Elephas maximus indicus: one gene and its partners. The protein of the gene in region 1 interacts with the protein of each later gene in a pairwise test. Links are inferred from orthologs where the notes say so. Each region holds a gene or a part of one and is shown in the gene's direction. Other genes may lie near its edges.

Region 1 (7,735 bases):
CTCTAGTGGGTCAGGTCCCTGCCGGGTGGCCAAGTAACAAAGGCAGACACAGGCCCCAGATAAGCAGCAAGTCACAAGCGCTCACCAAGACCTCTCAGACCAGCGTTGTTCCAGCACTTGAGGTGCCCCTTTGTCTCCCTGTCAGGGAGGGGCTCCAGGTCTGGGTAGGGGGCTATGGGAAGGGGGCAAAGACATTCCTGTGGGGCCTGGAGGAGGCTTCTGTCCACGGAAGGCGCTAAGAGAGGGCCAGGTCAGTGTGTCAGGGACTGAGGGGTCAGGTGAGCACCGGGGGGCTGGGGTCCCTGTCCAAACCTCATCTCCACCATCACCAGCTGCGTGGCTTTGAACAGGTCACTGCCTCGGTTTCTCCTGTGGTACATGGGAAGGGTCTTCCTCACAAGTGGTCTTCTGTAAAGGAGACCAAATGAGGAGAGCTGTCAGGGTACATACAGCAGGGCCTGTGAGCATCCATGTGAGCATCCGTCTGCCTCTGGAGTACTCAACAGAGCGGGGAAGCAGAGGGAGGGGAGAGTCGAGGGAAAAGGCCGACAGGCCCCAGGGGCCAGAGGAGAACAGTGGCAGTGGCTGGAAGTCAGGGGACGTGCTGACCCCACTCCTGCCAGCTGCCCCCTGCACTTCTCTTGAGATGGGCGGCACTTTGGCCATCGCAGCCAGGTTGTCTGGCTTTGACCAGGTGCCTGGTCCTCATCTGTAAAGATGCGGTAATAGCACATACTTCTCAGGACTAATGCCTGGGCTCAGTAAGAGGCAGCCATCCCTGGACAGGTGTTCGGCCTCTGGCCCTGCTCATCATGCTGCCTCCAACAAGTAATCGGCCAAGCTGGAGAGCGAGGACTGTCCTGTGGGCCCAGCTCCCACTCTGACCTGGGCCTGCCCTGGCCCCTGGCCTCACTGCTTTTCCAACAGAACCACAGTGCAACCCCCCCACCCTCAACCTTCGCACTACCCTTGCTCACCAAAGATTCCTGACACCAATTGGGTACCACCCTGCCCTCCCTCCTCTACCTGTTTCTCTCCTTAGCGCACCCTCCACCCAACCCCTTACAGGTTGGCCTCACTCAGGGCCCACAGCAGACACCCAACACCTGCCAAGTGAACTATCCCCACTTCTCTGGTGCTTGGAAGAGCCCTGCCCCACTGTGCACATGGGCTGTGCAGTGGGTGGGCATTTGTGTGGGGAGCCCTGCCTCCAGCCAGGCTAGGCCTTACAGGCACTGGGGGAACAGCAGGCTTGGGGGGCCACAGACACAAGATGTCTGCAGAGTGGTCTGGGCCACCCTGACACTGGCCCAGAACATTCTGTGATAAGGAACTTCACCCACAGCTGTGCTGTGTCAAAAAGGGCCAAGAAAGCCAGCCACTGAAAGGAAAGGGCATCTGTGGCAAAGGGGACCCAGAGGGCTCTGGACTTTAGGAGGGCTCAGAAGGGAGTTGGTCACGCCCTGGAAACGAGCCCTTTGGTGGACTCCACGCAAGAGCCCACACCCACCAGCGCCGCCAGCCCCGCAGCACGGAACCCCCACCCCCACCCCCAGCATGGTGACAGCACGTCTCACTTAACCCCACTCTACAGATGAGGCATCAGATTGGAGAGGGCGGGCGGGCCTGGCGTGACCACGGGTCAGCCCTTTCCAGGGACTTCTTCCTTACCCAAGCGGGGCAAGCGGCACACGGGACCCCGGGGCCTGGGGTGCTCTCGCTGGCGCCCCCGCACTGGCCAGGAGCCTCGTGGACTCCCTGCAAGAACGGCCCAGCTGTGAAGAGTAGGGGGAGAGGTCGCCGCGCACCCCAGGCCGCCACAAAGCCAGCACCCCACTTTCCGCGCAATGCCGGGCATGTGGGCGCGAAGAGGCCTGCGGGGGAGCCGGCCGAGCGCCCCGGCGGGCGGGCTGGCGGGCGGGCGGGGCAGGGCGGGCGCCTCCAGCGCGAGGAAGTCCAGGCCCCGCGCTTTGGGGAAGTGCGGCCGAGGGCCTGCGCATGCGCCTCGCGCCCCCTCCCCGAGCTCCTGCCGGACCTCGCGGCGCGCGGGGTCGGGCGGCGGCGGCGCGGCGGCTCGGGAGCGCGGCCGGTGAGTGCACGCGCCCGCGCGGCCCCGGGACGCGGCTCCCCTCCCGGCCTGGGGCTGTTGGGAGGGAGCCTGGGAGCCGGCGCCCCGGGCCGCACTCAGACTTTCAGCCCCAGGCCCACGTGGACCCTGGGCCGCTGCAGGACCGGACCACCCCCCCGTGCGGGGGAGGGGTGCTGCACAGTTTCCCCTTTTTCTGCAGCTCTAAGCCCGGGGGAGCGATTGCTCAAAGGTGGGGGCCGGAAGGACCCAGGTTTCCGCGTCTCCCGCCCGCTTCGTCCTGGTGGGGAGGGGCCGGGGCGGGACGCCCTCCGCCCCCGCCCCAGTTAGATTTGGCAGCTGCTCGGCCCTGCAAGCCGGCGGGGAGGCGCTGCGCCCCCGGCCCAGCCGATCAGGGCTCCTTTGCTGGCCCCTCCAGACGCCCCAGGAGTACCTCCTGCCGTCTGACTCAAGTCCCCGCTGCAGTGCACGCCCCTTCGGAGACCAGGGTGGGGCCAGAACGAACCTGGCCCCTCCCGCCCCCACCCCATCTTTGGGTCTCTGGTGAGTGGGGTGCTGGGCCAGGGAGAGTTCCTTAAGGTGGGGTGGAGGCGTCAGAAGACAGGGTCCCAGACTTTGAGGGAGGGGGTTGCCCCCGCCATTGCAGGTCGGTCTCGGGGCCGGGATCACCAAGGCTGGGGTGGCCCGGCCTTCCTTGGAGGGGGCCAGGCCAGGGGCTCCCCCCACCAGGCTAGCGGAAGAGGCAGGTAGGAGAGGGTACTGGGTAGGATCAGAGACAGTGGGCCCCTCTGTCGCCCCCCCCCCCAAAGGTTATGGCATTTCTTTCTGGGATTGTCACATTTTCTTATTCTTTTTTTGGAATGGGCGGCTCTGGACGTTCCTTTTCCTTCTGTGGTGCGGAGCAGCAGCCACTCCCAGGGGAAACTCTGTCCCCAGAGGCTGGACTGGCCTCCTATCCAGCTTCTCCATCCCAGACTCGGGGGGCCAAAGTCTGGGGGCTAGGGAAAGGGAGGCGCCCCCAGAACATCAGCATGAGAGGCAGGAGGACCCTAGTTCAGACTCCCTACCCTCCCAGGAGGCAGCCCAGGGCACCCATGGGTGCCCCAGGGTATGGCATGGCCTCAGCGGCCTAGGGAGGGCACGGGGAGCCAAGTGTAGGGACCATGCCAAGGGCCTGGGGAAGAAGGGACTTGGCCCCCACCATGGGGCTCTGCACCCTAAACAGGTCCCCTTCCTCCAATTCAGAGCAGGTTGGAGCTAAGGGAGTGGGGAGGGGCAGGGCCAGCTCCACTCACAGTAGGGGTGGTGTGGAAGAGGAAGTCATCACCCTGTCTGGGGGTACAGCTCCCGGATCTCAGGAGGAGCCACAGCCCTTCCTCTCCCTAGAAACCTGACCCCAGGGAAAGTGCATTGTTTCCCCATCTGTGGGGCCTGTGGGCCTCAGTTTGAGGGCCCCCCACAGGGTCTGTGAAGCCAGGCAGATCGTAAGGGCCTAGGCTCCAGAGAACCCTGTGCCCACCCTCTCCCTCAAAGCCTGTCAGAGCCAGGCCTCCACATGCCCAGGCCAGGGAGCAGTATCGTCGTGGCCCCTGAGAGCTGCCACACGAGGCCCCCATAACCAGCCAGGGGCCCCAGGAGTAGGCCTGCCTAGAGCGTTCACCTTCACTCCTTCCCTGGAGCCCTGAGAGCCAACCCGGACAGACTGAAACTGGGATTAAAACACCATGAGCAGGGGTAGGGTGGGGGTATACTGAATGAGAAAAGAGAGTGGAACAGGGTCAAGTGGCAGGTGCAGTGTGTGTGGGCAAGGGGCATTCAAAATCACCTGCAGGGTTCAGATTGGCCAGGCTGCACTGAGTAAGTCCAATGGGTCTCTGGTGCCCCCACCCCTGCCTCCACCCCCAGGCTTGGCGAAACCATCTGCGTTGGCACCCCTGCCCAAGGTGCAGTGCAAACAGAGGCAGGATGGCCAGCACAGGGACTCCAGGCCCCAGCCCAGGAACAGGTGCCCCCTCCCCCAGCCTGGCACCCCCAGCATGGCACGCCCTGCAGTGGGGCGCTTGGCTGCAGTGGTTTCCGCTGCCTAGAGGCAGCGGTCGGGCGGGGGTGCCACGGAGACACTGGGTGCAGGCTAAGAAGGCAGCACTGTCAAGGCATGGGTTTCTGGGAGAAGGTGGGTGCCTGCAGGCAGGGACGGCACCAAAGACTGAAGTGGGAAGTGGGGCACTGGGCCAGGGCAAGTTTCTCTGAGACACCCCCCCCGCCCCACTCCCCACACCCTCAGAAAGTCCTTCCCCAAGTCCCACTCAAATTCTCCATGCTGCAGGCCCAGCCTGCTACTCTGTTGAGTCCTGGTGAATTGTCAGAATCCTGAGACTGACAGGCAGATTCAAGGCTCTTGGTTGTGAGCAACCGTACCCAGCGCCCACAGTCTGGACAGAAAACCCAGAATGAAGGGAGCTGGCAGGGGGTAGGGGGGCTCTGAATGTCTGACTGCCACCCCCATGACTCTAAGGGGCCCCCAGCCCCCTTGGGGAGGGGCAGAGAGCTGGAAACCAAGAAAGAGGAACCCAGGCTTCCGGCTTCCCAGGGACCGAGCTGATGGGGGTGTCCCGGAACCTTCCGTGGGGGCCTCTTCTGGGGCCCAGACTAGGATTGAGGGGCCAGAAGCTGCTACAGCCCCCTCCCCAACTGACCTGGGCCTGCAGTCCTGGTGTAGGCTTGGGGGTGGGGGGAGGAGAGCCCAGATGGGAGCCAGGGATGAAGGTTGGGGGCAGAGGGCTTGGGGAGGAAAGAGGGAGACCCTCTCAGGACCCCCAGGGGCTGGCAGGGACTGGGGTCTCAGGTTCTCAGAGCCTCGGCCTCTCTCCCCAGACCCCCGGCCGTGGTGAGGGTTCCGGAGCAGGCACCACAGAGCCTGGGGACCTTCTTGGCCCACCCATGCCCACCCCGCATGAGGCTGAGAAACAGGTGCGCCCCTGCTCCCCTGGGGAAGATGGGGGGGCAAGATAGGGTGGGGGCAACAGGGAGTTTGGGAGACCCCTGAACACCTGGGAGGCAGGAAGGGTCATGTCCCAGGAGGTGTAGCCCCTCGGGCAGGCAGTGGGGGAGGAGCCGGGCTGGTGTGTTCTGGGCTGAGCCTCTGTCTCTACAGCACACAGGGCCAGAGGAGGCGGACCAGCCGCCCTCCATGTCCAGGCATGACGCGGCCCCTCCTGCGGCCGTCCCGGCTGCCCCCAGCCGCAATCCCTGCTGCTTGTGCTGGTGCTGCTGCTGCAGCTGCTCCTGGTAGGTGGGCCTGGGGTGCAGGGGGGACCTGGGGGAGCATGGGAGCCTGGGGGTGCGAAGGGGGCTGGGGGGTGTGTTGGGGGCCAGAGGCTCCTGAGGTACAGGCTGCAGGCAGGACAGCCCTGCCACCTTGCCAGCCCTGCCCTGCCCAGGCCCCTCCAGGAGACTCCAGTGAGCCAAGGGTGTACCCGTGGGCAGGTACCAGGCCCACACCTGTGTGCACCTGTGCACCTGCTTGTCCACGTGCTTGATACATGTTTATCAACGCTGCTCTGGCCTAGGGACCTAGAAGAGCAGAAACAGAAAACAGACTCTGCAGGTTGTACCAAGGGCTGCGGAGGGGACGCTGGGGGGCTCTGAGGAAGGAACAGATGAGCCAAGCCTGGAAGATGGGGAAGAGCACCCAGAGGGGGGGCACAGGTGCTGGGACAGGAGGGCATGGGGTTTTGCAGAGCTGGAGGCCGCCACCCCTCGTACCCTGACCCTATTCAGGCTTCAGGTTTGGCTGTGGAGTGGAGGGTGGGCCGTAGGGACCCAAAGTGAAATCAGGCGACCAGTGAGAAACCAGGGGCAGAGCCCAGGAAAGAGACCATGAGGGTAGCATTGGGAGCCGAGGTAATTAGGACTTGGTGGTGTCTCTGGCTGGGGCGGGGTATGGGAGGGATGGAGAGGACTCGGGTTGTGGGCCAGGTTGGAGGCCAGTATCTCTGGAGGCAGTGATGCCACTGCTGAGGAGGAAGAGGTGTGGGGCCGGGGCACTGAGCTTGGTCTGGCACCATCAAGTGGGGAGAAGACTGGGAGAGAGAAGCCATACCTGGGGGTCAGGGTCAGATAGTGAGGCCTGATAGGTGGGCACAGGGCAGGCTTTCAGCAGGGCCGGTTGGGCCTGCAGGGTGGACCTGCCAGGGGCCCCTGGGATGAAAGGCTGGAAAGCGGGTAGGGTCGGGGGCTTGGCCAGGGAGGTAGGAGGAGCTCCAGACAGATCATGCAGGGTCCCAGCAGGAAGATAGTGGGGGTCACCAGCCAAACATCGCCGAAGGAGACAGAGGCCGTGGCCTTGGCAGGGTCAGCAACTGGACAAGCAGATTCAGTGGAGGGAGGGGGAAAGGAGCAGTGGGCAGGAGAGTGGACCCCCTTCCCAGGAAGGGTGTGAAGGGAGCAAAGACTCCAGGGGTTGCCCTTCCGTGCGCCAGTTACCTGTGCACCAAGCTCTGTGCCTGTTCACACGCCTGCGTCTCCCGTGCACCAAGCCCTGTGCCTGCTCACACGCCTGCGTCTGCTGTGCACCGAGCCCTGTGCCTGCTCACACGCCTGCATCTCCTGTGCACTGAGCCCTGTGTCTGCTCACCTGCCTGTGTCTACCCGTATGCATAGCTCTGTGATGTGTCCACAAGCCAGTATCCATGTGCTGAGGCCCATGTGTGCACTTATGTGATGTCCCTGTGAACCCAGGCAAGTTGCTGCCATTCTCTAATGTTAGGAATGAAGAGCGGCGGCGAGCCTGGCAGGCTTCTCGGGAGACCAAGCTGCAGCCCCTCCCCAGCTGCGAAGCATGGTGAGTCTCAGCCAGCCTGTGTGCACGCATGAGGTGGGCGCGCGTGTGTGGGGTGGGCGTGGGCACGTGTGCGTGCATGAGTCTGCGCATCAGGCGCAGGCAGGGTTGGGCCAGGTGGCTTGTCTGACCCTGACCGAGGCACTTGCTGGCAGCGCCGCGCCAAGCCCTGAAGAGGTGCGCAGCTGGGCTCAGTCCTTCGACAAGCTGATGCGCAGCCCCGCTGGGCGCAACGTGTTCCGCGAGTTCCTGCGCACGGAGTACAGCGAGGAGAACATGCTCTTCTGGCTGGCCTGCGAGGAGCTCAAGGCCGAGGCCAACCAGCACGTGGTGGACGAGAAAGCGCGGCTCATCTACGAGGACTACGTGTCCATCCTATCCCCCAAGGAGGTGCGCGTGGGGCAGCGCCGGGCGGGCAGGGCAGGGCGAGTGGGAATGCCGCCCACCGGCCCCTGACCCCTCCCCGCCCCGCCCGCAGGTGAGCCTGGACTCGCGCGTGCGGGAGGGAATCAACAAGAGGATGCAGGAGCCATCTGCGCACACGTTCGATGATGCACAGCTGCAGATCTACACGCTCATGCACCGGGACTCCTACCCTCGCTTTCTCAGCTCCCCAGTCTACCGCGCCCTGCTGCTCCACGGGCCCACCCCGTCCTCGTCGGAGGCCTGAGCCCGCCTCAGGCACCAGGACCCTAGGGCCCCATGTGGGCTTCCACTGCAAGGCAAGTCGAATTGGGGTCCGGGACCCCAGGAAGTCCCGGCTGGCCGCTGACTCCAGGCTCCGCCCCACGAGGCCAGGCAGAGGCTCC
Region 2 (7,125 bases), on another chromosome or scaffold:
GAACAGACGAACCCTCCCTGCAGGTCATCCTGCTGATCCCGCCTCAGGTGGGGGCCCCTAGCCCATTCAGAAACTTCTGAGTGAGGAGTTCTGGGGCATGATTCCCCAGGCTAAAGCCAACTATCTGTGAATGGTGCTCGGTGGCTAGGAAGGGGGTGCTGGATCCTGAGGGTCCCCAGGCCTGGGACTGTTCCTTTTTGGGGAAGAGAGGCCTGGCGGGGAGGGGGAAGGGAGGGTAGGATGGCTGACTCCAATCTCAGAGCTGCTACTGGGCCAAAAAGCAGGAAGGTGAAGCCTGGCTCAGGGCTGTAGGGAACAAGCAAGCGAGCTCCCTGTCACTGAGGTCTGCAAACAGAAGCTGCCAAGAGAGGTCCTGCCAACAAGGCTGTGATTTGGTGGTTACAGGGTCTCAGCCGGCCAGGGACCCCCTGCCACCTGGAAGCCATGGAGGTGGCATAACCGAAATCCCAGACTCTGGGCATCCCGGTGGGATCCTGCCTGTTTCTAGACTCTGGGCAGGAGGGGTGAGGCAGACACACCCACCCGAAACTGCCTTTGGGGAAGTGCTGGCAGCTTCCTCTTCCTGGAGCCTGTGGGTTATGGGGCCAGCCCACTGAAGGGGTCTTCATTCCTCACCCTGCTTAGGGATGTGCACAGTAGGAACTCAGGACAAGCTGGACCTGCCCTGTGGCCTGTGGCGAGCCCCCTGGCTGTCCTAGCTGTCCCAGATAGCTAGTAGCAGCTGTTGCTTCTCCAGTCCTGCTGGGGTGCTGCCCTCAGCTCTGCTGGATGTCCTATCACTGTCCTTTATGGTCTAGTTTAGGTGGTGCTGGGCCCGTGAGAGCAGGGACGAGGCATACCTCTTCTGGTGACCATGAGACCCTAGCCAGGCAGCAATATCCCCTGCCCCCAAAACAGACTTTCTTGGAAGGAGCCCTGGGTTCTGAGGTGTGAAGGAACCAGCATGCTGGCAATGTCCCTCGCTGGTGATCGTGGATAGTTCCTGGTCCCTCTGGGCATCACTTGACTCAGCTGCAAAGCAAGGAGTTTCTCCAGCTCTGACCCTTGATTTTCTTGCTGACCCTTCCCCAAACCCACCCTCTCAGTTCCACCTGCTTACCTTTGCATGTACTGTTCCCTGTTCCTGGAATGCCCTTCCTCATTGCTCTTCTCCCTCTGTTGTTGTCGTCATGTGTCATTGAGTCCGTTCCAACTCATAATGACCCTATAGGACAGAGCAGAACTTCCCCATAGGGTTTCCTTGGCTGAAATCTTCATGGGAACAGAACACCAGGTCTCTTACCCTTATTTTCTCTCTTAGTCCTAACCTCAGCCATCCAGCGGGTTAGGCCCATTTTATGGGTGAGAAAACTGAGGCACAGGGAGTTTCTGATACTTGTCCAGAGTCATGCATCTGGCAAGTTTGCAGACTGATCCCTAGAGTTCTTGCTGCCAACAGCCACTCTACCATCTCTTGTGTAGTCCAGAGCAGTGTGTATGGGCTTTATCCTCAGGGCACTGGGGAGCCATGGAAGATTTGTGAGCAAGGGAGTGATGTAATTTGTTTCAGCAGGATCCTCTTTGCTGCCATGTGGTGGATAGATTGTAAACCAAAAAAACCAAACCCAGTGCTGTCGAGTCGATCCCGGCTCATAGCGACCCTATAGGACAGAGTAGAACTGCCCCACAGAGTTTCCAAGGAGCACCTAGAGGATTCAAACTGCCGACCCTTTGGTTAGCAGCCGTAGCACTTAACCACTACACTACCAGGGTTTCCAGATAGATTGTAGGGGAAACAAAAGAGCCAGGGAGGAGGCCGGAGGAGGCCTATAATGGGGGACAGTGGGGACAGAGAACGGGGACAAACTTGAGGGTGAATTGAGGAGAGGAAGAGGCTGACAGGATGTAAGGGTGGGGAGAGGGGTTCGTGGCTCTGGCTGGTGGGAGGGGTCATGAAGGGGTATAGGGCCCAGGAGCAGGGCCCAGTTGGGGGGTGGGACGTACCCAGTACTGGACAACATGGGTTTGAGGTGTCCAAGGTGTCTGGGGGAGGCTTCTGAACAATGGTGGACATGGACTGGCAGTCAGGTGAAAGGTCAGTCTAGAGATGTCCGGGTGGGGTTCTGAGTCCCTGGAGTGAGAGGTGTGTGACTGGAGTGCTAAGCAGAGGTGTAGCCAAAGCCCTGGGGACCTCATGGAGGTGGAAAGGTGCACCCATTGGGGTGAGGGGGTGTTGCTGGACTCCCTGGGATGAGCACATGGCTGGAAGGGGGTGGCTGGCTGGTGCCAAGGTGCTGGGAGATCCAGGGACCAGCATGGCCACAAGACCAGGACATTCCCCTCAGTGGCCCCACCCTGCCCCGCCGTTTCCGTTGATTGGGGTCTGTGTCTCTCCCACCTCCGGAGAGCTGGGCCTCCAAGAGGCTGACAGGTTCTCCCTGTTGCCCGGCAACTGTGAGAGCTGTTGGCTGTTGCTAGGAGCAGGCTGGGGAGGCCTGAGGAGAGAGGATCGGCTCTCAGGCATGGGGCGGGGCTAGCAGGGAAGGGGCCCGCCTTGGAGCTGGGTTTGTGGTCTGTGTGTAGACAGGCTGTGTTCTTGGCTGTCTGTACCCATCTTTATAGTGTGTTCCGTGGACTCAAGGCACGTTGGAGGCTGGGCCTGGGTGTGAATGTATAGGGCATACTTTGGGCTGGGTCTGTGTCCAGGTTTACATTAGAACATATCCCTGGGTGGGCCATGTTTGTTGCTTGCCTGGGGCAGGGCCTGCTTGAGCTTTGACTCTTGGCAGGAGGGAGTTGTTGGGGAACCACTGGAGGGCCTACAGTCCAATGCCTCCTGAAACAAAGGAGCCGTTCAAATAGTGATGCACAGGCACTCGGGGGTAGGGGACAGCCTGAGGACTGGGAGCTGGAACAAGGAATGTGCTAGGGTGGGGAGGAGGGGGTTGGTGATCAGTAGGGGTTTGGGGTGGCCAGCTCCCCCATGTGACTTTATGGACGTTCCCTCTCTCAGAACCCAGGCATCCCAGGCTTATGGCACTGAGGCCACACAGGACACCTTCCTGGGTAACCCTGGCAGACCCTTCAAATGACCAATCCAGGTCAGGGCTGTGGGCTCCTCCTGAGCAGAATCAGAAAGGCAGAAATGTTCAGCTAGAAACATTGTTGTTCCCTCCCACCTTTGCCCAGAGTGGATGCGGACAGGCCATGCGGCTGCCACCACCACCCAGTGGGGACAGGCCATGGGAGGATAGGCCTTGGGGTTGTGGCCATGGTCAGAGGTGGACAGACTATGGAAAGGATAGGCCATAAGATCGTGGCCACGTAGGTTTCCAGAAGTACTATGGCAGCTGTCTCTCTCCCTTGAGTCCTGGTTGCCATGTCCAAGGCTGGAGTCCAGAATGGCTGCCTGCAGGAGGACACCTCCCGGCAGATCAAAGAAGGATGGATAAGCTTTGGGTGAATAGAGGAAGGCACCTTTGCTGAGGGAGACAGCCTGGACAAAGGTGTAAAGGTAATTGACTTTATTTTCTTTCCTTTTTTTTTTTTTCCTGCAACTCAAGAAAGAGGCAAACCTGCCTTAAGATTGAGAAAACCGTAGTTCAGGGAGGCTCCAGGGTTCCTTAGATCCTAAAGAAGTTTATTGGATTCAATAACTTTAGCAAGTGACGAAGTCACGCCTCCTCCACTCCACTCACCCAACTCGCAAAAGCCCGGAGGGCGGGTTCCTGCCCAGCCCGCGAGATGCACCGGATTCCCACCCTCGGGCTACTAGATCCGCCCGCCCCGCCTTCGGGCCTCAGAGCTCCTGGCGCTCGGTTCCGAACCCATCCGGGGCCTCGCCCCGCCGGCAGCCCGCCGGGAGCCCAGTCGTGGACTGGGCTCTACCTTTAGTGCTGTTCTTCGGCGCGGCTCCGCCTCCAGCCCAGGCCTGAGCCTGGGCTGCGCCTAGCTTCGCCCTTCCCTCTGCCCTCGAGCCAATCACTGGCCCCAGGTCTCCTCTGGCCCCGCCTCCGGACCCGCCCCGGCCCAGTCCCGGGCCCGTCTCGTCCCGGCCCCACCCCCGGCCCGCCCCGCCGTCGGTGCGCCGCGGCCGAGAAGGCGCAGCCCGCAGACGCTCGGAACTGCCGACCCGAGAGCTGCCCGCAGAGGGCCGGCGGCGGGAGCGGAGTGGGTCGGGCGGGGCCGAGCCGGGCCGGGGGCCGTGTGGGGGCCGGACGGCGGCCAGGCCGGGCGGACAGCGGGATGGGCTGCACCGTGAGCGCCGAGGACAAGGCGGCGGCCGAGCGCTCCAAGATGATCGACAAGAATCTGCGGGAAGACGGCGAGAAGGCGGCGCGGGAGGTGAAGTTGCTGCTGCTGGGTGAGGCCGCGCCCCACGTTGGAACCCCCGATTCCCACTCAGTTCCCCAGACAAGGACTTCAAACTCCCAGACAAGGGCTTCGAGCCCCTCGGCCCGGCCTGAAACCCTAGCCCGGACTCCCAAATAAGGGTCTGAAACTCTGGGTCTGCCTAGACCTCTGAGGGTAGCCCAGACTCTATATCAGACCCTCCAACTAATCCTAGACCCCCAAATCCCAAACCCAGGCACTAGTCGGATAACATCAGCTGTCCAGAACCCTTCTTGACCATTCACTCTTGCTGACCAACCTCTCATACCCCCAGAGCCTCGGCCTTGTCGTTTCATCCTTCCAGAACCCCACCCAGCCCTACCCTCAAGCTTTACCTGTTTTCCCCACCTGCTCCCCCATATTTCTATTGAGCATGAGCATCCCCAGACCTTCCCAGGCGCCCATCCACTCCTTTCCGATCTGTGTCCCATTTCTACTCTAGACTCTATATCCTCCACCTGTACCCTCCAACCCCAAGGGACCTCTCAAGTGAGAGCCCGTAACTGCTCATGGGCCCTCTTCAGCCAGAACTCCCAAATGTGCAGAGGCCCCTGGTCTCCGACCCTCAAGTCCCCTTTTGCAGGCATCACTACTGCAGTGCTCTGCTTCCCCTCCCCTAAATCCCCTCCCACTCAGTGGCCTTCCCCAGGTTCCTCCACCTCCCCTGCACCAGGTAGGCTGGGCTGAAAGGAGGGAGCCCAGGGGCTAGGGACCACCCAGGCTGGGTTAGGCAAACCCCCAAGGAACTGGAGCAAGGCCCCCAAGGGCCAGGCTCAGACAGGGGCCAGTCCTCAAGCCTCCCGGAAGGTTCCGCTTGCTATATGTTTTCAAGTTTCTAAGCCTCATCCCGGCCGGCGAGGGGGGAGGCCAGGGAGGGATGCCTGGGTGTCTGGGGAATGGGGGGGGGGTGTGCGTAGTAAGGATTGAGACCGCCTCCAAGGCCAGGGAAGATGGTGGCTGCTCGAGGAGTGGGGGGAAGTGGAAGTGGTGAGACAGCCGACATATTGCTGCCCCTGCGGGCAGGCCAAGGAAATCTGCTGACGATGATGGGCTTCCCAAAGCTGCACTTCAGGGCCGAAGGGCTGGGACTCAGCCTCTGGGAGAGAGTGACCCTGTTGGATCTTGGGGCCCTGTAAGGGGAGTGTAGTGGACCAGCTGAATGAGGAGCTGGGGGCTGCTGAGGGTAGGCCAGGATGTCTCTGATCATCTGAACCAGCCTTTTGCCGAGATGTGGGCCCAGTGTGCATCCCTGTCTAACCTGCCACGGGGGCAGGTGTGGGGCCCAGCGGTTTCGTGCTTTCAGGGTAGGGGGTTAAGGAGGCCCCTGCAGTGGCGTTGGAGGCTGGACAGTGTGTGTGTGGCGGGGGTGTGGCCCCTTAGCCCCAGTCGCCTTGGGGTCCCCAGGCTATGAAAACCTGGGATTTTCAGGCAGTGCTTGTGGCTGAGAGACAGTGTGTCTGTCCATCATAGGCCCATCTGTTGACTGTCCCTGAGGGCCCAGCCTCGGGGGCACGGCCCCGAGGTTTCAAAATGGCATCCGCTCCGTTGCCGCCGCGGGGAGGAAGAGAAGGGGCGGGAAGGGGCGGCGGCCCAGCCTCCTGGGCTGCTTTGCGTTGGGCGCTTGCCTCTTCCTGTCTCTGCTGCTGCGAGTGCGGCCGCAGTGAGTGGGTGTCGACGCAGTGAAATGCCCGTCTCTTCTGCCTGCCGGGCCTGGGGAGGATGCTTCCGGTACTGCTGCCTCCCAGTGCCCAGACCAGAGCCTCTAGCCAGCTTCTTCCTGGGTTGATTGTGGTCATTATGGTGGCTGAGAAGACTGCTGGGCTGGGTCATGGTGCGGTGGGGGGCGAAGAGGGGGAGCAGAGTACAGGGCTCCTTGCCTGTTCTGTCCTGACCCCGGAAGGGCCCCCCATCCTGCCGACCTTGTCCCTTGAAGCCCAGCTGTGCTTTTGGGGCAGGCCAGGTGGGACCCAGCAACACCTCCCACATTGGGATGTTAGCAGTCAGGGGTACAGGGGCCAGCTTAGCACTTTTTAGCCTGGGGAATCCAACCCAGCATCCTGCACCTTAGGCCTTTGCTTCCTCTGTGAAATGGGCTTTCTGGGCTTGAGCCAGAGGAGTGCCATAGAAGTGCCTGGGCCCAGGTCAGGGAAAATAGGGCCTCATGAAGGTTCTTGTTGAGGGTGTGAAGTGGGAGCTAGAAGGACCCTGCAGAGGGTGCTCTGTAAGGGTCTGGGAGACCAAGCTCTACCTGAAATTGAGGACCTGATCTGCCACGACTGCCTGGGGAGGAGTCACCACTGAGCCTTCCCTATCCAGGTACAAGATGGTAATGGGTGCCCAGTTGTGGCAAGTTCAGACTACTGGGCACCTGTCCCACATAGCGGAAGAGACTGTCCAGGCAACGGGACTCAGGCTGGGCATTTGCCAGCCTTCCCTCCCAGCCAGAGCCCGCCTGCTGCCCCACCCACATACTGGCTCTATCCTGTCCTGGGTAGCCCTGCCAGCAGGCATATACAGTCACTGTCACTGGGGCAGAGGCAGATGTGGTACACACTGGCAAGAGGATTTTCCCTGACAGCTTGGTCGGGGGAGCAGAGGAGTTGATACCAGCCCTATTCCAGAGATTCTCCCACCCCCCACCCAGTTCAACTTGCCTGACCAGCAAGGTCCAGATGCAATTTGGGGTCTTGAGCTAGACAATTGAGGGAAAGAAAACAAAAGCTAGCAGCCTTG
Region 3 (7,016 bases), on another chromosome or scaffold:
CCCCCTGAAACTGAAAGCAGAATTTGGCAGCCTGTCTTAAGGTGCCTTCCATGAGCTCCCCAAATGTGCCAACAGGGCCCAGACCTTGGCTGAGCTGGCTCCCTTCTGCTTCTCCAAAGCCACTTTTCCTGGACCGGGATTCCCAGGAACCCCCAAAGTCTCTATGTGCAGGAAGTGTGGAGGGGATATGAGGAGCAGAGATAAATAGCACCCCTCCTATGCTGTACCAGGCTCACCTGTGTGAAACTTTAGGGTTTGCAAAGCCTTCCACATGTTCTGCGTGTAAATGGCGGCCAGCAATGTGGGGCAGGAGAGAAGCACCTTCCAGGTGGAGGAGGCCCTGGGTGTGAGGGAGCGTGAGGCATCAGAAGAATCCAGAAAAGACCAGTGTGGCTACAGCCAGGAAGCATGCAAGGAGGCCATGAGGCTGGATGGGTCAGGAACAGCCAGACTGGTGGGTGGCCCTTGGGTAGGATAGGGACATTGGCCTAAGAACCACTGGAGAGTTTTAAGGTTAGCATTTTAAATTTGAGAAAGAAGGCCCTCATTTTCATGAACGCAAAATAGAACGCATAAAGATCAATATCCTAGGCATTAGTGAGCTAAAATGGACTGGAATTAGCCATTTTGAATCAGAAAATCCTGTGGTCTACTATGCTGGGAATGACAAACTTAAGAGGAATGGAGTCACATTCATCAACAAAAAGAACATTTCAAGATCTATCCTGAAGTACAACTCTGTCAGTGATAGGATAATATCCATATGCCTACAAGGAACACCAGTTAGCACAACTACTATTCAAATTTACACACCAGTCACTAAGGCCAAAAATGAAGAAACTGAAGATTTTTACTAATTTCTGCAGTCTGAAATTGATCATGCAATCAAGATGCATTGGTAATTACTGGTGATTGGAATGCGAAAGTTGGAAACAAAGAAGCAGGATCAGTAGTTGGAAAATATGGCTTTGGTGATAGAAACGACACCGGAGATGGCATGACAAAATTTTGCAAGATGACTTCTTCATTGCAAATACCTTTTTTCAACAACATAAACGGTGACTATACACATGGACCTCAAAGGATGGAATACACAGGAATCAAATTAATATATTTGTGGAAAGAGACAATGGAAAAGCTCAATATCATCAATCAGGACAAGGCCGGGGCCGACTGCAGACAGACCATCAATTGCTCATATGCAAGTTCAAGTTGAAGCTGAAGAAAATTAAAACAAGTCCACGAGAGCCAAAATAAAACCTTGAGTATACTCCACCTGAATTTAAAGACCATCTCAAGAATAGATTTGATGCATTAAACACTAATGACCAAAGACCAGAAGAGTTGTGAGATGACATCAAGGACATCATACATGAAGAAAGCAAAAGGTCATTAAAAAGACAAAAAAGAAAAGACCAAAATGAATGTCAGAAGAGACTCTGAAACTTGCTCTTGAACATAGAGTAGCTAAAATGAACAGAAGAAAGGATGAAGAGCTGAACAGAAGATGTCAAAGAGCAGCTTGGGAAGACACTGTAAAGTATTATAATGAAATGTGCAAAGACTTAGAGTTAGAAAACCAAAAGGGAAGAACACACTTGGCATTTCTCAAGCTGAATGAACTAAAGAATAAATTCAAGCCACAAGCTGCAATATTGAAGGATATTATGGGCAAAATATTGAACGATGGAGGAAGCATCAAAAGAAGATGATATGAATACACAGAGTCACTGTGCCAAAAAGATGTAGTCGACGTTCAACCATTTCAGGAGGTAGCATGTGATCAAGAACCTGTGGTATTGAAGGAAGAAGTCCAAGCTGCACTGAAGACATTGAGGGGAAAACAAGGCTTCAGGAATTGACAAAATACCAATTGAGATGTTTCCACAAACAGATGCAACCCTGAAAGCTCTCACTCATCTATGCCAAGAAATTTGGAAAACAGCTACCTGGCCAACCAACTAGAGGAGATCCATATTTGTGCCCATTCCAAGTAAAGGTGATCCAACCAAATGTGGAATTATCAAACAATATCATTAATACCACATATGAGTAAAATTTTGCTGAAGGTAATGCAAAAGTGGTTGCAGCAGTACATAGGCAGGGAACTGCAGAAAATTCAAGCCGGATCCGGAAGAGGACATGGAACCAGGGATATCATTGCTGATGTCAGATGGATCCTGGCTGAAAGCAGAGACTACCAGAGAGATGTCTACCTGTGTTTTATTGACTATGCAAAGGCATTCAACTGTGTGGATCATAACAAATTATGGATAACATTAGGAAGAATGGGAATTCCAGAACACTTCATTGTGCTCAGGTGGAACCTGTACATAGACCAAGAGGCAGTCATTTGAACAGAAGGAGGAGATACTTCGCGGTTTAAAATCAGGGAAAGTGTGCATCAAGGGTTGTATCCTTTCACCATACTTATTCAATCTGTATGCTGACCAAATAATACGAGAAGCTGAACTATATGAAGAAGAACCCAGCATCAGGATTGGAGAAGACTCATTAACAACGTGCATTATGCAGATAACACAACCTTGCTTGCTGAAAGCAAAGAGGACTTGAAGCACTTACTGATGAAGATCAAAGACTACAACTTTCAGTAGGGATTACACCTCAACAAAAATCCTCACAAATGAACCAATAGCAACATCATGATAGACAGAGAAAATACTTAAGCTGTCAAGGATTTCCTTTTATTTGGATCCACCATCAACAGCCATGGAAGCAGCAGTCAAGAAAGCAAATGACATATTGCATTCAGCAAATCTACTGCAAGAGACCTCTTTCAAGTGCTGAAAAGCAAAGACGTCACTTTGAAAACTAAGGTGTGCCTGACCCAAGCCATGGTGTTTTCAATCACCTCACATGCACGCGAAAGCTGGGCAATGAACAAAGAAGACCAAAAAAGAATTGATGCCTTTTAATTACGGTGTTGGCAAGAGTGCTCCTTAGAAGCAAGGATGGCAAGACCTCGTCTCACATACTTTGGACTTCTTATCAGGAGGGACCAGTCCCTGGAGAAAGACATCATGCTTGGAAAAGTAGAGAGTCATCAAAAAAGAAGACCCTCAATGAGATGGATTGACACAGTGGCTGCAACAATGGGCTCAAACATAGCAATCATTATGGGGATGGGGCAGGACTGGCAGTGTTTCCTTCTGTTTTACACAGAATCACTATGAGTTGGATCCGACTGGTGGTCACCTAACAAAAATATGCTGGAAACCCAGGTTCAATTCCCAGCCAGTGCACCTCATGCGCAGGAACCAGTCATCTGTCCAAGGAGGCTTGTGTGCTGCTGTGATGCTGACTAGGTTTCAGCAAAGCCTCCAGACTACGACAGTAGGAAGAAAGGCCTGGCAAACAACTTCCAAAAACCAGCCAATGAAAACCCTCTGGATCACAAGGGTTTCACGCCGCAAAGGATCATAGGGATGATTGGGCGAGGGTAGCGGGTTGGGTTTGTTTTTTTTTTCAGTTGTGCATGGGGTCGCCATAAATCAAGGGCTGACCAGAAGGCTGACAACAGGATTGTCTTGACAGTCCAGGGAGGCAGGTGCCGCGAGCCCCACTTCGAAGACAAACTCGGGGAGGTCAGTCGGCGACCAGGTCACGGGGCTCGGGAGGGGCGACGCTGAGCTCAGACCCTGAGCGCCGCCAGCTCCCGGGTGGGCGCGCGGGCCTTCTGCGCGATCGTGGGCACGGACAGACAGAGCGTGCGGGACTGCGGTGCGCGCGGAGCCGCGGCCCCGCCCCTGCTCGCCGCCATTGGCCCACGGCAGCGTCGGTTAGCCGCCCGCGCCCAATGAGCCGCAAGCCGGCGGTCGTGGCGGGCGGCGGCGCCCGGCGCGTGGTGCCCGGCGGGCGCGCGGCACCCCGCCCGCGGTTGGCCTGGCAACGCAGTGCGCTCGCGGCTCCGCCTCCTCTGGCGGCGCGGGGCGGGGGACCCGCGGGGGAGCGGGCGGGGGAGCGGCCGGCCGTGCGTGAGCGCCGCCCGCGGTCCGGTCACGTCCCCGCGCGGCGCCGCCGCCCGCGTCGTGCGGAACGAGGGCGCCGGGCCCGCGCTCGCCGCCTCCCGGAGCAGCTCGGCAGGCTCGGTGCCCGGCCCGGAGGTGAGTGTGCGGCCGCGCGCGGTGAAGCTTGGCCGTGGGCGCGGCAGCCCCCGTCCCCGCCTGCCGCCCCCACCCCCAGCCCCCCGCGCGACCACTGTGCCCGGGTTAAGGCCTCGGGGGCGGCAGGTTGCGGGCGGGGGGCGGCGGGCCGTGCAGGTGCCAGTGACGTCGGCCCGGGAGGGTGGGCAGGGCGGCGGGGCTCCCTGGGCGCGAGGAGGGGCGCGGACGCGGGGCCTGTCGGAGACCGAGGCCTGGCTTGGGACGCGGACACAGTGTGGGGTCATAGCTCCTGCCGCGAGCAGGTTCCTGGGGGCATTTAGAGCAGAGCTGAGTATCGACCATCTGTCCCCGGCTTGGTGTTTTTCCCTTAAAAGGCGGCGGGGGTGCTCTGAGGGAGGGCGTGGGGGCTGGGGCTCTGTGTCCTGCGGGGGACCCAGAGGCCCTGCCATTAGGGCGGTGCCGAGCATTCTGGGGGGTGGCGGCAGGAAACCGCTAGGCCGGCACTAGGGCTTTTCTGACAAGAGAGGATGGGTGGGAGGGCAGTGTCAGCCCAGGGCTCCCGGGGTCTGGGTCTCAGATGGAGAAACCCACCTGGCAGTGAGGTCCGCCTGGCTTGGGGAGGCACCCGCTCTGCTGACTGGCTCCTCTGCCCCAGTGATTTCCCGGCCGGGGACCGGGCCCCACTACCCTGCACTCTTTCTGGAGGAAGCTCCTGGCAGAATTCGGTCAAACAAACATTTATTGAACCCTTGCTCCCTAGGACCAGGCACTGGGTGGACAGGGGGGAGTGGACTGTCCTGTCTCCCTAGGACTGACTCACCATGCCATAAGGGAGATGTGGCCCTGCTCACATAGCCCAGCCCAAGAGCAGCACTTGACCTGGGGAGGTGACCCCAGTTGGGGTCAGGTGGGCCTATGTGCAAGGAGACATTTTGAGCTGGTGCTTGAAGGGCATGGCATGGCTGGAGTAGGCTTTGCAGGCAGATGGGGGAAGGGACACAGAGAGGGTTCTCGGGTTTGGCAGGAGTGGGCATGCTTGAAGAAGCCTGAGGTATGGTGGGAAAGGTGGTGGGGTCATCCGGTTTGGACTGAAGGGAAGCTGGGGACACAGAGCTGCCCTCTCGCTTGTTAGCCTGGCTCCTCCAGTGGAGACCTCGGCCTCCTCATCTGCAGAAGAGAAGGAAGCTTCTGGCAGCTCTGTAACCAGGAGATGGGGTGGGCCTGGGGCAAAACTTTCAGGACCCCCTGGGGTTTGCCCCCCAGGAACCTGATCCTTTTTGGGCAATGTCCAACCACCTTCTTGGTAGCCATGGAACACCTGCCTTGTTTACCTGTTCAGCCAGTGACTATGTCTCCAGGGTCTCCGGGACATGAACATTCGAGAGCAGTCACCATGAAGGCCCAGGGTGTCCATCTGCGAGCTGAGGGGTGTGCAGGAGGCCTGGCTACACTCTGAGGAAAGAGGACCCCCAGGCACTTTCCAGGGAGGCTGAGGCCATGGCATTTGTTCTTTAAAGTCCTCCCTATGGGTTCTTCTGGCAGACGTTGATTTTCTGGGGCAGGAAGGGAATAAGGCTGGGACCACTTTCTTCCCTGAGCTGCTTGCTCAAGGGGCTGTGTTGGCTCCCTCTGAGGGGCTGTCTGACTCATCTCTGCAGCCCTGCCTCCACCCCACCCGCATAGATACACACTGGGCTCAAGGCCCAAGCCTGGGCTGCTGCAGCGAGAGGCAGGCCTGCCTGCCCTCGTGGGGCTTGTGGTCTGTGCCTAGCGCCGTGAAGCTGCTCAACTCCTGGATGTAACTTTTGCCTTGTCCAGACCCATTCTGGGGACCTGGCACGGGGCCCTAGGTTGGGCTACATGGGCGGGAATTCTCCCTCTGACCCAGCGCCCAGGCTTCTCTGGCCTGGAGCCCCAGGAGGAGGGCCTTGGTTGAGCTCTCAGGAGCTTCTAGGGCAATTCCAGGGGCTTCTGGGTAATGGGCGTGGGCCTGGGGAGGGCCATGGAGGACCTCCCCACCCCGGAGGGTGGTGTCATGGGGTGATGGGACGGCTGGCCTGGGACTCAGTAGGCCTGATCTCCCTGGCCTCGAGAATGCAGAAGTGGCCCTGTGAGCAGCCTATGCTCACCCCAGTAGACTTAGAATGCACACAGCTGACCGTGGCCAGGCTTGTGGAACTCATGGGGAGGGGAGTAGAATGCAGCTCCCCCAGCCTCCAGGAAGGAAACAGGGTGACAGAGCCCCTGGGTTGGCCTGCAAGAGATGTGCATGGCAGAAAGGATCACGAAGGGAATGGACATGGCATCGGGGTGACACCAAAGGCCAGCCTCAGGTAGGAGGGTCGGAGCCTCACAGATGGGAGGGGATCATGGGAGTACCCAGATGCTCACGCCCATGGGGTAGTGAGGCAAAGGGGGAGCTCCAGTCTAGTGTCACAAGACCTGGCCACAGGTCGGGTCTCCTCATGTGCTGGCCTTCACCCTCTCCACTCTGACAGAGGGTCTCCCATGTACCTGGCCCCCTCCCTGTCCATGCTGGCAGGACGGGTCTCCTCACATGCCCTGCCCCCTCCCCGTCCATGCTAACAGGAGGGGTCTCCCCACATGCCTGGCCCCCTGCACATCAACACCAGCAGGAAGGGTCTCCTTACTACATGCCAGGCTCCCTTCACATGTCCACACTGACAGGAGGGGTCTCCCTACGCACCAGGCTCCTTCCACATGTCTACACAAAAGGGGCGGTGCTTTATCTGCAGAGACAACCTCATGGAGGCTGTCCAACGAGTCCTGGAGCCTGTGGGAGGTCACATCAGCCCTCCTCGCGGAGCCTGCATAGTCCATTCACTCATTTGTTGAGCTAAAATTTAGCCATGCCCCTCACATTTTGGTGTC

What was found.
Region 2: the proteins of RGS19 (region 1) and GNAI2 interact in a two-hybrid assay, tested with the Homo sapiens proteins (2 studies listed by BioGRID and IntAct). The link is inferred for Elephas maximus indicus from reciprocal best matches to the Homo sapiens genes RGS19 and GNAI2.
Region 3: the proteins of RGS19 (region 1) and GNAZ interact in a two-hybrid assay, tested with the Homo sapiens proteins (2 studies listed by BioGRID). The link is inferred for Elephas maximus indicus from reciprocal best matches to the Homo sapiens genes RGS19 and GNAZ.

The regions. Positions count from the first base shown.
Region 1 is NC_064843.1:4,063,839-4,071,573, forward strand, and holds the start of RGS19 (regulator of G-protein signaling 19), read left to right. Parts: upstream 1-4,355; 5' UTR 4,356-4,687; coding exon 4,688-4,801; intron 4,802-4,960; coding exon 4,961-5,056; intron 5,057-5,240; coding exon 5,241-5,374; intron 5,375-6,854; coding exon 6,855-6,929; intron 6,930-7,081; coding exon 7,082-7,316; intron 7,317-7,404; coding exon 7,405-7,596; 3' UTR 7,597-7,735. Other genes in the region: translation initiation factor IF-2-like, read right to left, coding at 252-408, 1,672-2,000. UniProt on the Homo sapiens protein: Inhibits signal transduction by increasing the GTPase activity of G protein alpha subunits thereby driving them into their inactive GDP-bound form. Binds to G-alpha subfamily 1 members, with the order G(i)a3 > G(i)a1 > G(o)a >> G(z)a/G(i)a2.
Region 2 is NC_064838.1:54,584,638-54,591,762, forward strand, and holds the start of GNAI2 (guanine nucleotide-binding protein G(i) subunit alpha-2), read left to right. Parts: upstream 1-4,125; 5' UTR 4,126-4,245; coding exon 4,246-4,363; intron 4,364-7,125. UniProt on the Homo sapiens protein: Guanine nucleotide-binding proteins (G proteins) are involved as modulators or transducers in various transmembrane signaling systems.
Region 3 is NC_064840.1:23,668,833-23,675,848, reverse strand, and holds the start of GNAZ (guanine nucleotide-binding protein G(z) subunit alpha), read left to right. Parts: upstream 1-4,016; 5' UTR 4,017-4,124; intron 4,125-7,016. UniProt on the Homo sapiens protein: Guanine nucleotide-binding proteins (G proteins) are involved as modulators or transducers in various transmembrane signaling systems.